Linked DNA regions of Diceros bicornis minor. The protein of the gene in region 2 binds, or shares a complex with, the protein of the main gene of each other region. Links are inferred from orthologs where the notes say so. Each region holds a gene or a part of one and is shown on either strand. Other genes may lie near its edges. The genes, in order: RAB4A and RBSN.

Region 1 (7,400 bases), on a different chromosome or scaffold from region 2:
CCAAATAAGGTCACAGTCACAGGTACCTGGGATTAGGACCTGAGCATATCTTTTGGGGGACACAATTCAACCCATAACAGCCAATACTGATACATTTTTAAAAGAAAATATCCTGATAATTTTCAAAATTTTGTGGTAAATACTATAATACTTATAAAACGAAGCACAAAATAAAAATATTAAGAGTACATTGTGATAAAAATTAGAATAGGACCAACAATTTGTGTTCTTGTTTCATAAACCATTTTCACCGTAGAAGGCATAAACTCCAATGTACAGATTTGTCTCAGATTTTTCCTCACTCTCAAACTGCCTCAGCTCTTAAAAAAATTTTTTTTTATTTCCAGCGTTTTCGACACCACTTATACTTTTTAGCTCCTTTCTGAACATCATTGCTGAGTACTACCTATTTGATTTGTCAGTTTTGTCTCACAAATTTTGGTATCAGAAATTAGGTAAGGCCAATTTGTGATCTCCCAAGTCTCAGATGGCTGGAGCTCCTGGGGAAGTCCCAAGCCACACTAACCAGCCAGGGCTTTAAGAATGTTGTGGATCTAATAATATTTGAGAAACGCTGTTTCAGTTTAGGGATATTCAGATTGACGGTTTCAATCTGAAACCTAAGTGTTTAAAATTTCAATTTTGTATTACAACATTATATAAAGCATAGTACTCACGTAGTTAGTGGTTTCAAAGCAGCAAAACGCTGAACATTACTCAGTCTATGGAAGGTGAAATATTGCTTTAATACGCTAAAAAGCAGGTAGATACAGCTCATTAACAGTATGTTGTAAGCATTGGCTCTTTATTTTTCATCATATCCCTGTCAAGCCACAGAGCCTCCTTTTCCAGAAAAGAGAACAGGAGCAGAGGGTACAAAGGTGTTTAAAGGTTAGGCAAACATTCCTTTACCAGCTATCTAAGAGGCAAACGTCTGAAAGGAGGGAACCTGATTGTTTTACTTTTGGGGAACAATGCTGCACAAATATGGGCAATGAGAAGTGAAGGTGACAGCTTAGGACTTGGTTTGGGCGACTTTTATTTTAGGTTGGCACTTGCAACTGCCACACTGGCTCTTTCTAAAACTAATTTTCTATTAGTTTCCTTTAATTTCCTCTATTAGAGGAAAAGATGAAATTCAGTTAGTAAAAAGTAAAAACAAATTTGGAAGATACCATGAAATAACAGTATTAATGGTCAAGGCCTTACGATCAGCATTTAGTCAGTTCATGCTCACAAGTTCACTTAACTCTGTCTGAAGTGGAGAAGCCAAAGGTATGCTACGTTTTATCAAGTTATCATCTCATATAAGACAGATGAAACAGAAAAGCTCTAGCTCCTGAACTCTTCCAGTCCTTTCTACTAATTCATAACCCCCACCTGGGTCTCTTATTTGGACTTTCCACTCCTCCCTAGTGCTCCTTTAAAGTGTGGGGTAAGAAGCACTTGAAAGAAAAGCAAAAGTATAACCAAAAATTGCTAGAGAAACTCATTTTCTCTATGAAATCTGACTGCAGCTCTCCATAGAGAGAACCAGACCATGTGGATGTACTGCATTTGCAGCTCTGACAACAGTGGTCCCCACGAAGCTAGCAACTTCCTGGAGGATTTCCTAAGCCTTCTAGGAACAGATGTCCTGTCCCCAGTGTCACCAAGAACAGGGCATGTACTAGTCACAGGAGTGGCTGAAGGTGGAGCAAATGCACTACGACCCCACCCCTTTTAGGAGAGAGGCCCTCTCTGCCTCACCCTCACCCCTCCCCAGGCCTGTGGGGCCTAAACCACACCCCCTTATTGGAACTGCATGTCCCTCAGGGCCTGGGCACATGCTGTTCTGGCATGTGTGGCTGCCCTGGCCCCCAGTCTGGCGGGGTTTCTTTCTTACCTACTTTCTATAGACCACATTCCTGCAGAACTCCTGCCTGGGTTTCAACCATTCATTAGTGTCACACCTGGATTAACACTGGAATCGCCACTAGACTGTAAACTCCATGAGACCAGAGCCGGCCTGCTGTGTTCCTCGCAGTACTGACAGCGCCTCCTAGCAACAACCGGCTCCATGCTGCCATTCCACACATATTTGTTGAAGCAAAGGAGCAGCATACCAGGACAAACCCAGACAAGACTGATTCAACTGGAGGTACATACTTTTGAACTTGAGCTTCTGTAAACTTCCAAATCAAAGTCTTAATCTGAGAATGCACACATCTGAAAGAGCGATCAGAGATGGTAAACATCTCCTCGACCCTGACACAAAGCAGAGGTATGCTATACTGTTTATTTTACCACACACGACTAAAACAAAAACAAAAAGACACAATATATGAGTTGGGAAGGTTTTCGTTTATTCAAAAAAATATTTGTTGAGCACCTCCAGGTGTGGGTGCTATAGAGGAAGCAAAGATTAGGAGACAGGGCTCTGCTTCCAAGGTGTTGATGGTCTTAAAATGACACATTTATAAATAGCCATAATGCAACCTAGAAAGGGCTAAAAACACCTGAGAGAGAGAGAAGTAAATAAGGCAAAAGGTCGCCGGAGAAAGAATTGATTAGTCTATCGACAATTCCTCACTGTAATCCCTTTGCAAAGAAAGGAATTCCACACCAGGAAAGGTCAACCTGGAACATCTGAGGAACACACTGAAACACAGGCGTCGCCCCAAGTCCTTCACATCCCTCGCTGGGGACAATATCACAGATGAAACCGAGTCTCAAACTGGCTTTCCAAACCCTGAGATCTTGAAATGAGACTAAGAAAGAAAAACCCTTCCGGGCGTAAACGCGGAGAAAAACCCAGAGGAAACTTGAAAAAGCAGATCCCGTCAACAGACTGCACACAGCCTGGCCCGCGCTCGGGCACTCGGATCCGCAGCCCGCGCCCCCCGCCCTCCTCGGCCTGCGCCCCCCACACTCCGGGACCCCGCAGCCCAGGCCAGGCCCCCGCGCCCCTGAGACCCTCGGCCCGCCTCCGCCCGCTTCCCCCTGCCAGCCTCATACCGTAGGTCTCGGACATGGCCGTCTGCGACATCTTGGGAGCGGCACCGCCTCTTGCCAGGTCACCGCTGCAGCTCTGGCCAGGCCAGCAGGAGGGCAGGGCCGGGGTCGTCTGCCGCGTCTCGGTGGGGCACGGCGTGGGGCGGGGGACCTGAGGAGGGAGGGGCCGCGGTCCCCACGGCAGCCGCCGGCCACCCCGCGGCTGCTGCCCTGCCGGACTGCCGGCTCTGCGCAGGCGCACGGCCCCCCGCCCCCTGCCGGGCCGGGCCGAGGACCAGGAGGAGGAGGAGAAGAAGGAGGAGGAGAGAGGGGAGCTGGAGGCCGGTTCCCGCCCGTGGGCGCGCGTGCGCACGCAGCCCGCGGAGGGGCGCGGGGAGGCCGGCGCGCATGGAGGGGCGCGGGGAGGCCGGCGCGCATGGAGGGGCGCGGGGAGGCCGGGCGGGCCGAGGGGCGGGGCTGGCTTAGCCGGGGTTGCGGAGGTGGGGAGGAGCCGACGGTCGGCAGGCTTGTGGGTGACGGAGGGCTGCGGACAGTGGGCTCCAGCTCTTGGGCAGAGGAGGCGAAGTGCCAGCCCTGGGGAGGAAGAATGTCCTTTGGCCAAACTAGCCCGCCTCAGTAAAGACTTTGTCGTCGTCATTTGCAGCTCTCAGCCGGGAAAAGACTTCGTTCAAGCTGTTATGCTCAACCCGGGAAGGTGGTTACTGTGTAGCTAGGAGGCAGTGGCTCCAGGTGTCCAGCTAGAGGCCAGCCCTGTGGGCGGGGAGGCAGGCTTACTTGCCGGGAGACTGAGATTTCTCTCTGAACCTGCCAGGCCCTCTCGGGTGGGGCTGAGCTGGTGTCTGGGGGAAACCGACGGAAGCTTAAGATGTACCACTGCTGAAGAGTGCCGGGAAGACTGTAGACATTGGCCCCTCTGCATCCCAGTTTAGGGGAATGTGGCTTATGGGCAGGAAGCATCTCCTGACCCTCAGCTGGAGATGCATTTCTAAGGTTAGGAGTCGTTGGTGAGTATTTTGATTTAAGGAGCAAAACTGAATTCAGGATCCCCTTCTGTTGGAAACGTCGACATAAACGTTTATTGGGAAGAGAATCTTGGTTGGGAGTTTGCTGCATCTGAGCGTGATCAGGGCCACATGGTATCTCATAAGATCCAACGTTGTTCAAAAGACATAGTAGAATACTAAAAATATACCTTGGCTAAGCTCCCAAGTAATTTGGACGGTGGGGAAAATGCCAGTAAATATATATTTTTTCAAGTCCATTTGGCTCCATCCTCCACCTAAATTGGCATCAGACCTTCCCTGAGGCCTTTTCCCCTCTTCCCCAAGGGCTATTTGGCTCTACATTTTACTCTTCTCTCTGAACCTAATAGCAAATAAATATCCTTGCTTCTAAATCACAGAGAGGACCTCATGCTGAAATATTGTGAGAACTGTCATTTCCTAGAATTATTTTGTATACTTGTTCACTGGCTCAGATACTTTGTTGCTTTCTTGTGTGGCTTTCTGCATATTAGGTTTGATTTACACTCCTGAGTATAGCAGACTTATCCTGATTAAAACTATTTCAGAGGAAAGACAGTGATCCCATTCTTTAGATCAAAGTTTTCTTCCTGCCAGAAACTTCTGTGGATAAGAAAGGAATCACTGGGTTACAGTGATCGCTTGGGTTATTGACTGAAACTGGACCTTGAGGGTCTCTGAAACCTGGAGAGAGTAATAGAAATAAAAATGAAGCTGCTATTTCAAAGCTGAGAGCAGTTTTCTATTCTGTAGAAAACAAAGACTTACCTAGGCATTTGAGAAAGACTGTTTTGTTAAAACCACCCAAAGAAATCATTTAGTTTGCAAATATAAAGCCAAATATCACAACTGGAAAAGGAAATAAATACTCAAGAGCTGAGGTTTGAAGGAGCCAAACCTCCTTGAATAATAATGTGAAAGGTTCTTTGCATCTCGGTAACTTTGGATCTTTGAGAGAAAATAATTTTCTTCTAAATATTCTTGGAGACTGCTTTGGTTCTGAAGTACAGTTAATTGTGTGCAAGGGACACTTATTGCCAAAATTAATGTATGTTTTCTCTGGTTATTGTCTCCTTTCCCTTCAGGGGAAGTTTGTGATAGAGTAAAAAGCATGTTTCCAAAAGCCTAGGCACATTGGAGATTAGTCTAAGGGAGATGGAGAGAGAAGGATTTCTTCCAAAATAGATCCCACCCACTCCTCCTCAGGTCAGTGGGTCCTGCAAATAGCTGGTACTTTCCTTCTTGCTCCTTGGCAATGCCTCACATTTAATGACCAATTAGGAGCCTCAGGGGGCTGCCAGTTTCACAAGGATTCCTGTTCCCCAGGACTGACAGAGGACCACATGGATGGGGACAGTGGTTTCTCTGCAGGGACCAGTGGGGACAGATGGACAATGACTGAAAGGTCCTTCTGGACTTCTAGGCACAGGGTTGGACCTGTAACAGTGGCCTGGTTCTCTGGAGGGGAGCCTTCAAAAGGCCTAGGGATGAGAATCCAGCATGACCCTGACATTCCAGGGAGCAGTGGCATTGGGAGCAAAGGGACGTGGCATCCTTGCCAAGTTAGGCTTGGTAGAGGGCACTGGTCACAGCCTCTACAACATGATGACTTTCTTTGGTAACTGGAGTTGAAGAACATAAGCCAACTTGTGTCTGAGCACTTGAGGACTCAGAAATATCTGGGTGTTACTTTGAGAAGGAGCCAAGTTCTGCTTAGGCAGGTGGAGACTGGCAAAGATGACCTCAGTTAAACACCCAGGCTGGTGATGGCTGTGACATATAACTCTTATGTTCAAGTTGGAAGAGACCTCAGAGGCCACTGGACCAGTTTGCCTTCCAGTGCCAAACAACACTGCCTCTGTGATTGGACACCTTTGTTGTTAGGGAATATTCAGTCAGGATGGGCTAAATTAGCTGTAGTAACAAAGACCTCCCAAGACACTTATGACTAACACAAAAAGTTCACTTCTCACTCAGACTACCGGCCCCACCCATTCTGGCCGAGAGGCTCGGCTCCATGTGGGCATTTGTAGACCCAGCCTGACCGAAGTCACATCTAAACACTTGCTCCCACCATCATTCAGGTGGGAGAAGGAAACAGCACCAGATGTGCATTAGCTCACGAAGATCCCATCAGGAATTGATAAAATCACTTCCATTTACATTTTATGGGCCAAAGCAAGTGACGTGGCCACACCTAATTTCAAAGAGAACAGGGAGTGCAATATTGTTATGTTCCAGAAGGAAAGAAGAGAGTGTATGTGGAAATACATTATGACTAACACAGGAGCCTTTTACCTGTCCAGGAAGCTCATTCGGCTTCTGTTTTAGACAACTTTATTGAAGTGTAACTGATAGAGCTTTACGTGTTTAAAGTATACATTTTGATAATTTTTTAAATATGTGTACACCTGTGTTTGCTGCTACTGGGATGTTACTGCTTCTAGGCCTTTTCAGTGGGCAGAGACATTTTTTATGATTCTGTTTTATCTCTTTTGTTTATTAGGAATAACTTCTGAGGTTATTTTCATGTTATTTTTTAGGGTTTGTAGTATAGGTCTTTAACTTCTCACAGTCCATCTTCAAGTAAAATGCATTTCATGTAGAGTATAGGAAGTCCACAACAGTTTTCCTCCATCCCCCTCCACCAACTGTACTGTGGATGTCCTGTTTCTTACATTTGTTATACACTCCACATACATTGCTATTATTTTTGCTTTAAGCAGCCAATTTTCTCTCTTTTTAAAATTGTGGTAAGATACACATAACATAAAATTTACCATCTCACCCATCTTTAAGAGTACAGTTCAGTGGTATTAAATACATTCATAATGTGCAACCGTCACCACCATCTAGTCACAGAACTCTTCATCTTGCAAAACTGAAACTCTGCACCTGTTAAACATTCACTCCCCATTCCCCCTTCCCCCAGCCCCTGGCAACCGCTGTTCTACTTTCTGTCTCTATGAATTCGACTACTCCAGGTACCTCATGTAAGTGGAACCATTCAGTATTTGTCGTTTTGTGATGGGCTTATTTCACTTAGTATCGTCCTCAAGGTTCATCCATGTTGTAACGTGTCAGAATTTCCTTCCTTTTTAAGGCTGAAAAATATTCCACTGTGTGTATTTACCACATTTTGCAGCAAATTCTCTTTTAAATAGATTTAAACAATAAGAACAAGTATTTTCTATTTACCTACATAGTTATCATATCCAGGACTCCTCAGGCCCTTGTGTAGATTCAGATTTCCATGAGGTGTTGTTTCCTTTTTGCCTGAAGGACTTCCCGTAGCAGAGCTTGAAGCTCAGGTCTGTGGCTGATGAATTGTTTCAGCTTTTGTATATCTAAAGAAGTCTTTATTTCACTTCTGTTTTTGAATGA
Region 2 (8,342 bases):
ATTGTGGGGATGAAATGAAGTTAATACATGGCGAGACTGTTAACAATGCCTGACACATGGTAAGCACTAGATATGTTCGCTACTATTATTACTTATTAGTGTTATCATGTTCTGTGGCAACATGGAAACTGATGAAAACTATCCCATGAGTTAAAGCTCCCATTGACAGAATGGGATAAGCAAAAAATCCTCGCCTCTTACTTTTAATTTGCCCTTTGACATCACGGTCTTCCCCGGAGTGCTCTTCCTCATAATGTGACTGAAGCTGATAGAAAGACTGCAGGTCCTTTAGGCACAAAGGGCAGAGGAAGCCCTCCCTCACTTCCCCTGGGTCATCCAGAGAAGCCATGGCAGTGTCCCTCTCAACCCCTGTAAGGCAGGGGCCTCATGCCAAGAGTCAGCTTGATTCCTCCACAAGGGACCAGGGCTCCTGCAGCATTAGCTTAACCAAGCAGCACACAGATAATGGGGAAGTGGCATCATGGCCCTGGATGAGGTTTCCTCTCTGGAGTAGAAGTCCTGAGAAAGGAAAGAAGAAGGGAAGAAAAAGCCAATTCAGGCAAATTAGCAGCAGTTGAGAATTTCCTTTGTTCTTTTCACATTTCAACAAGGGTACTTAATTGTTCAGTGCAAGTTAAGAACACAAACTGCTTTCTCAAATCCTTAGACCAAAACACAAAACCTTCTAAGATATGAGAACATCACTGGACAATGGCAACTCAATGAAGTGGGAAGCACAGATTCTTGAAGACAAGAAAAGAAAATTCAACTTCAACAGCAAACACAACACCAAGGCAATTCTCTAACATTCATTCCAAATGGTCCAACTTCATAATTTGTATGCCACTTTAGCCACTGGGGCAATGTCTGAAGTACTTATCAACAAGCAGAAGTTTTTATTTGACCCTCTTTACCTTGATCATTTATTCAACCACATATATTGAGCTCTCGCAGATGTGTCAAAAATGCACCAACGAAAAAGAGATAGAGTCTGCCCTAAAAAACAAACAAAACCAAAAAAACAAAAATCCCAACCTCAGTCTAAGGAGGAGCATTAGAAACCTAGTGGTCAAAAAGAAAAATCAGGGGGCCAGCCCAGTGGCATAGTGGTTAAGTTCAGCACGCTCGGCTTTGGCGGCCCTGGGTTCACAAGTTCGGATCCCTGGCACAGACCTACACCACTCATCACCATGCTGGGGCAGAGACCCACAGACAAAATAGAGGAAGACTGGCACAGACGCTGGTTAGCTCAGAGCCAATCTTCCTCAAGCAAAAAGAGGAAGACTGGCAACAGATGTTAGTTCAGGGCCAATCTTCCTCACAAAAAAAAAAAAAAGAAGAAGGAGAAGAAAAATCGAGGGCTGGCCCCATGGCCTAGTGGTTAAGTTCGGTGTGCTCCACTTCGGCGGCCTGGGTTCAGTTCCCAGGCGCGGACCTACACCACTCGTTGGTGGCCATGCTGTGGTGGCAACCCACATACAAAATAGAGGAAGACTGGCAACAGATGTTAGCTCAGAGTGAATCTTCCTCAAGCAAAAAGAGGAAGATTGGTGAGACATGTTAACTCAAGGTGAATCTTCCTCAGCCAAAAAAAAAAAAAAAAGGCACGGGGTCAGTATTTTGTGTCTTGTTTGCAGAGCACTCTCTCTCCAATGAACTTACTAGATTGTATAAGTGACAGTTTAAATAAGCGACAGTTGAGTAGCAAGCCTAATGTTCTCACTGCTTCAAAAATAAGAGGATTTGGTGCTTAAACAATTCAAGGCTTAATGAGTTACACTGTCAGTTTTAATAGGCCATGGCAAAGTCACTTCCAATGTCATCTCAGAAAGACTCCCAGAAAACCATTCCACAAAAGCAGAGAAATTTCTCCCCAAGAACCGAGGCCACAAACCACAGTAGAGAGTGAAGAGGAAATGTATGACCTCAGCTTCGAATGGACCTGCCTGGAGGGCCACTGAGGAGGGACTGCCTGGTCCTCAAAGCTGAGGGATGGCAGTGACCCAGAAAACGCACAAATGAAACACCAGGTCCCTGTTCTTTTTCTTAGCTAAGAAACTCAAGGGCTATATACATGCAGATCTCAGCCCCTCTTCCAGATCACTGAAACAGCAGCTCCAGTTCCCTCCCCAGCCAGGGGTTCATCTGATGCCCTGACTCTGACAGCCCCCTTCCTTCCCACGCACTGGCCCGTAACAACCACAAATCAAACACACACACACCCTTCGCGTCTCAACCGAACCTCACTGCCTCAAGGAAATGCCTCTTAGGAGAGGCATTCTCCCGTGGGACACACCTTGCTCTTCTCCGTCACAACACTTATCTCAATTTATAACCACAAGTACACGAAGTGACTAAATACATCAGACTGTAAGCTCTGTGAGGGCAGAGACCATGTCTGTTTTCACCAGCACCACCTCTCCAGAGTCTAGCACAGCGCCTGGCACAGACCACGAAGAAACAAAATAAAGCTCCATGAATGAAAGAATGCACGAACTCTAAAATCATATAACCAAATACACACCACAAACCAAAGAAATCTACCACAAACCAACCAGCCAGACCCCACAACCATAGCATATGCAAGCCCCTCACACCCTAAACAACGTAAATAAATAAATAAATAAAATCTACATATCCTGCAAGTATACGTCCAGCACGAGCGCTCCCCGGCCACATGCCGCAAAGACTGCGTATCCCACAGCCCACTCATCCCCGCCTCACCACCGCACACAACCACCCTCCACAGAACTCAACACGATTGTGCACACGTCGCATAACCACACAACATGAAAGACCCACAGAGCAGACATGACAACTCCACACACTGCACAGGTGACACGCAAAACACTACAAACAACTCCACACAAACTCAGAACCCAAATGCCTCAACCTCACACAACCAGAGACCCAAACAACACTCGGGAGACAACCGCCTCCCTCCTCAGCCTCATAACCCAACACAACTGTACACGCCCCGCATAACCACACAACCAAATAGAGCCCAATCATCGCAAGCACACACAGGCGAAACGCACAGCCCGAAAGCCACATCTCCCACCACGCACGTCACACCCACCACAACCTCACACATCCCACCCCCGCGCGGCCCGCCCGTCTCCGTTCGGCGCTCCTGCCCCTCAGGCCCAGCCCAGCCCTCTGTACCCGGTAGGGCTTCCGCGGGCACGCAGGCCTGTCCAGCCCTCCGGCCCGGGCTCTAGGCCTCCACGGTCCCTCACACAGCCGCCGCCGCCATCTCCATGGCTGCTCGGCGCTCGGCAGGCGCGCCTGCGGCGGCGCCGAAACCGGAAAGCAGGCTGACAGACGCCCGTCGAGCGCCGAGTCTTCGAGGGCGAGAAAGGGGCGGGGACGGATGCAAACGGCGCAGGGCGGCCGGCGGCTTCTACGCAGGCGCTGTAAGAAGCGCGGGGGCGGGGGGAGCGCGGGGGGGCCGCTGGTTAATTTGCGGGCGTGTTGACGTCCTAGGTACTTACAGGCAACACGTTAAAGCCAGCCTCTTGCTCTCCGCCGCGTTGTACGGATGCGATGACTGAAGCCTGCGGTTCTTTAGCTCTTGACCGAGGTGAGCAGTGAATGAGGCGGCGGAGGAGTCTTTATCGCCCCCTACCCCACCCCCAACTGCAGTTCTGCATTAATTCGGGTCAATTAAAGCTCCTGAGAGCTAGAGATTAAAGTAATATTCAGGAGACTTGGAGAATGTAAAAAGATCCACGTGAGAGTGGGGACTTGGAATGAGAGGGAGCATCCATGCAGAGGGTGTACAGCGTGGTCAAATCTGTAGCATTAAAAATAAAACTACCATATGATCCAGCAATTCCACTTTTGGGTATTTAAATGAAGAAAAAAACACTAACTCAAAAAGATATTTGTACCCCCATGTTCTCTGCAGTGTTATTTACAGTAGCCAAGATAGGGAAACAACCTAAGTGTCCATTGATGAATGAATGGATAAAGAAATAATGTTCACACACACACACACACACACACACACACACACACACACACACATAATTTAGCCACAAAAAAGGACATCTTGCGGGGCCGGCCCGGTGGCGCAAGCGGTTGGGTGCGCGCGCTCCGCTGCGGCGGCCCGGGGTTCGCTGGTTCGGATCCCGGGCGTGCACCAACGCACTGCTTGGCAAGCCATGCTGTGGCGGCGTCCCATATAAAGTGGAGGAAGATGGGCACAGATGTTAGCCCAGGGCCGTCTTCCTCAGCAAAAAAAGAGGAGGATTGGCGGATGTTAGCACAGGGCTGATCTCCTCACAAAAAAAAAAAAAAAAAAAAGGACATCTTGCATTTGCAGCAACATGGATGGACCTTGAGGGCCTTATGCTAAGTGATATGTCAGACAGGGAAAGACAGATGTCGTATAATCTCACTTATATGTGGAATCTAAAACACACACACACAGAAAACCAAACTCATAGATATAGAGAACAGATTGGTGGTTGCTGGAGGCGAGTGGTGGGAAGTGGCTGAAATGGGTGAAGGGGGTCAACAGGCCCAAACTTCTAGTTATAAAATAAATGTCACGGGGATGTAATGTACAGCATGGTGACTATAGTTAATAATACCGTATTGCACACTTGAAAGTTGCTGACAGAGTAGATCTTAAAATTTCTCTTAAAAAGAAAAAAAATTTGTAATTTGTATGATGACGTTAACTAGACTTATTGTGGTGATCATTTTGTAATATATACAAATATCAAATCATTATTTTGTATATCTGAAACTAATATAATGTTATATGTACATTATGCCTCAAAAAAAAAAAAAAAAAGACAGAGTGATCAGTCAGCACCTACTCCATGCCCTGCGCTGTGCTGAGTACCACAGGGTGTATAGAGACAAAACCTCATCCCAGTTCTGGGGAGCTGTTTGCTTTGTGCCCTGCACAAGTGCTGGCCTTCAGCAATGGCCTGGGCTCCAGAAAAAGAGCTGCAGAGCATGATGGGAAGATCCTGAGCTTTGGGGTCAGAAAGCAGCCTTGGTTCATGTTCCAGCAGTGTTGCTTGACCCTTTCGACTCCTGGTATCACCATTTGTAAAATGGGGATGAAAATAATAGTCTCCATCTCATAGGGTTGTAAGGACTGAGTGAGGTGATAGTGAGGAGGCATCCCTAACACTGGCTCCGCCTGTGGACAGGAGCACTGATTCCGCACCTAGTGCTGGGCCTCCATCACCTTCCGTTTAAGACCTGGGGCTCCCAGTGTGGAGAGCATTGAGTTTTTGGAAGGCAATCGCCAGTGAAAGGGCGGTGAGCTAAGGGTCAAGAGACCTGGGTTCTAGCTCTGCCTGCACCTTACTTTGTGACTTTGAACAGATCCCTTCCCCTCTCTTGGCCTCAGTTTTCCCATCTGTACAGGTAAAATAGCTTCCAAAGATTTGCAAGCTCTTTTATTTTTTCAACTTGGTCACCCCCCCTTTTTTTTTTAAACTTGACAGGGTTGGCGGGAGTGGACAGTGACTCCTCTTTGTGTGCTGGCACAGACAAGGAAGAGACTTGCCAACCTGTCAGAAGCAAAGCAACAGACCCAATTCTGTCTCTCTGTCCCCGGCCTCTGCCTTGGCTTGCGGTAGCCAGGACTTGGAGAGTGAAAACACCTTATTGAATGTCTGGGGCCATAAGTCCCAGAACCGGCCGTGCTTACAGGCAGGACTATGTTTGGGGTCAGGCGATGAGCCTTTTATTAAACCATCATGATTTTGCCTGTCATTTACAAAAGCCAGTGTCACATTCACCATTTCATTTGCTCAAAAAAGCAGTGGCAATGTGGGCTGCAGCTTGTGAATTAATTCTGAAAATCATGATGGATCAGCCACTGCTGTTCTATTGATATTTTTAAGGGATGATGGTGGCAAAGACCTTCCTGTATGCTTTACAGTTTATCAAAAGCACTTATATTGCTTAAATCCTTTGGGAAACTCTATTACTATTTGCATTTTAATAATAATAATAATGATTAATATTAACTGAGTGATTCACATGTGCCAGTCACTGTTCTATGTGCTTTACATGTCTTAGCTTATTTAATTCTCGTACAACCCTATGTGGTACAAACTAATATCATTCCCATTTTATAAGTGAGGAATCTGAGGCACAGAGAGGTTAGGTGACTTGCCCAAGGTCACACAGCTGGTAAGTGCTGAACCCAGAGTCATCTTGCCTTGAGACTTTCACCACTCCCAATTTTCCTTCCTCTGTGAAGGTCTGATCTCTGAGCCTTCCTGCATCTCTCAGCATTTTCCAGGCACCAACTGTGTACCAGGCATAGAGATAGAGGGTGTAAGGAGAATAAAGCAGGATGGTCTCAGTCTTGGAGGAGGGCTCAGCTGGCAGGGGACACAGATGCTTATAAGCCAAATAGTTAAAAAAGAGAGAAGTGTGCACATATGTGCAGAAGCTCTGGCATCAAAGGGGAGGCAGAATCACCTGTGGGAATTCAGGGACGGTTTCCCAGAGGTGGCAACACATGAGCAGAGCCCTCAGGTAGAAATGATCAGGAAGAGCCTTCCAGGCCGGGGGAACAGCATATGCAAAGACATGGTCATGCAGAAGAACATGCATCCTTTGAGAAACTTAGAAAAGTTCATTCATACTGCTCCTTGTTCCCAACACTGTAGGGAGCTGCTTCTAATGGTAGAACCTCAGAGAACTGGCTCTCTTCCCCTTTTGCCTTCCCCGTTAGAGTTCTCTCTCTCTCCCTGTCTTTCTATCCCTCTCTCTTTGTCTCTTTCTTTCTGGCCCCTTATTGTCTAAGTTCATCCCAAGCACCACGAGATGTCTTGGCATCACATTAAAATCCCTGAGCAGGAAACGGAAATCACGATGTGGGTAAGCCTACGTCAGGGGAAGGTGTGCAGCACATCATGTAACTGCCCAAAGATCCAGCTTCCCTCCAGGCTGGCCCAGGCCCCCGTTTGCCAGACCTCTGCCAACTGCCGCCTGTGGTCGTGAGCAGACGGGTTGAGGGGGTAGAGGCTGGCACACCCCATCTACTGGCACAGGGAAATGAGAGTAATGATGGAGGGACTGGCAGGGTGGCAGGAGAGCAGGGCCTGGTCTGGAGAGTTGGCAGAGGGTGTACCAGACTGGGCAGTGTCCTGGGGAAGCAGGTGGCAGCTGCTCAGGGTCAGGAAGGAAGAAAGCAGAGAACAGAGGAAAGAAGAGAGGGAAAGAGGAGAGGAAGGGGAAGAAAGAGAGGGAAGCACGTAGGAAAAGAGGGAGAAAAGAATGATAAGAAAAAAGTTATGAGGTAGCAAAACATCATGATTATAAGCACAAACTTCAGAGCCAGTCAACCCGGGTTTGAGTCCTAGCCCTGTAGCTGTGTGATCCCAGGCAAGTCACTTAAGTTTCCTCATCTGTAAAATGGGATAATAATAGTACCTACCTCCTAGGTTGGAGGATTAAATAGGTTAATATTTAGAAAGTGCTGGAACAGTGCCTGGCACATAGGAAGGACTATGTAAATGTTTGTTAAATAAAGAAAAAGGAAGGGAGGTGTCATTCAAATGCCTTGGCAGTTGTGTCAGTCTCATAGGAGGTATGAGGAGCCCACTTGGTGTCATGGAAATATCTCTGAGAGTCATGGCCCTGCTGGGTGGGAACTCAGAATAGAATCAAATAGTAAGTACATTCACTGCATCCAAGGGGGGCTGGAGGGGGCAGGGAGTGGCAGCCTCAACAGACCTGAAAAGTAGAAAATATGGAATTGACTTGGGGGGATGTGAGCTCCAAGGCGACCCGATTTGCAGGTTGTGGGCTGGCATCTCTTTTGACAAAACAGGGCCACTACCAGCCCATAGGGGCCTTTGTGAATGGGAAAGAGGCCCCCCACCCTCCAATGGATGCAGCCCTGTGCCAGGACTCAAGCTCTGCACTTGGCAAGTGGGGCACAGACTGGATTTCTGCTCCCATCAACCCCTCGGCTGTGCTATACACAACCCACACGATGGTCCCAGGGCCAGGGATGAGGATGAAGGCTCAGCCTGGTCCTCAGGTCGTGAGAAAAATCACACTGGTGTTCTGCAGTTTCACTTCTCATTGCTTTGACTGAAATCTCTGGAGATATGCACGCTCAGCCAGTTGAGAATTTAACCCCAATTCCAACCCAGATTCAAAATAATCCATGTAAATGTGATGTTTTAACTATTTGAGGCATTTAAGAATGTTTGGAGTGTAAAGCATCCAACACATTAGACTTAGGACTCCAGTTTAAAATGTGTAACTCAGCAATCGACTTAGGGTCACGATTTTAAGTTCATTCAACAAACTATGTATTGAGCATCTGCCTACCTGGGTCCCTGAGATAA

Evidence for each region.
Region 1: the proteins of RBSN (region 2) and RAB4A are in contact, whole or in part, in a crystal structure (PDB 1Z0K), measured with the Homo sapiens proteins. The link is inferred for Diceros bicornis minor from reciprocal best matches to the Homo sapiens genes RBSN and RAB4A. Residues at the interface, in NP_001289307.1 of Homo sapiens: Glu441, Gly442, Trp443, Leu444, Pro445, Ser447, Glu454, Pro458, Leu459, Gln461, Gln462, Asn465, Ile466, Phe469, Asp480, Glu481, Thr484, Leu485, Asn488, Leu492, Glu495, Gln499; in NP_004569.2 of Homo sapiens: Tyr10, Leu30, His31, Ile34, Glu35, Ile46, Gly47, Val48, Glu49, Phe50, Gly51, Ser52, Lys53, Lys63, Gln65, Trp67, Arg74, Phe75, Ser77, Val78, Ser81, Tyr82.

The regions. Positions count from the first base shown.
Region 1 is NC_080745.1:26,216,093-26,223,492, reverse strand, and holds the start of RAB4A (ras-related protein Rab-4A), read right to left. Parts: upstream 3,391-7,400; 5' UTR 3,029-3,390; coding exon 2,998-3,028; intron 1-2,997. UniProt on the Homo sapiens protein: The small GTPases Rab are key regulators of intracellular membrane trafficking, from the formation of transport vesicles to their fusion with membranes.
Region 2 is NC_080741.1:87,281,766-87,290,107, forward strand, and holds the start of RBSN (rabenosyn-5), read right to left. Parts: upstream 3,286-8,342; 5' UTR 3,166-3,285; intron 520-3,165; 5' UTR 350-519; coding exon 202-349; intron 1-201. UniProt on the Homo sapiens protein: Rab4/Rab5 effector protein acting in early endocytic membrane fusion and membrane trafficking of recycling endosomes. Required for endosome fusion either homotypically or with clathrin coated vesicles.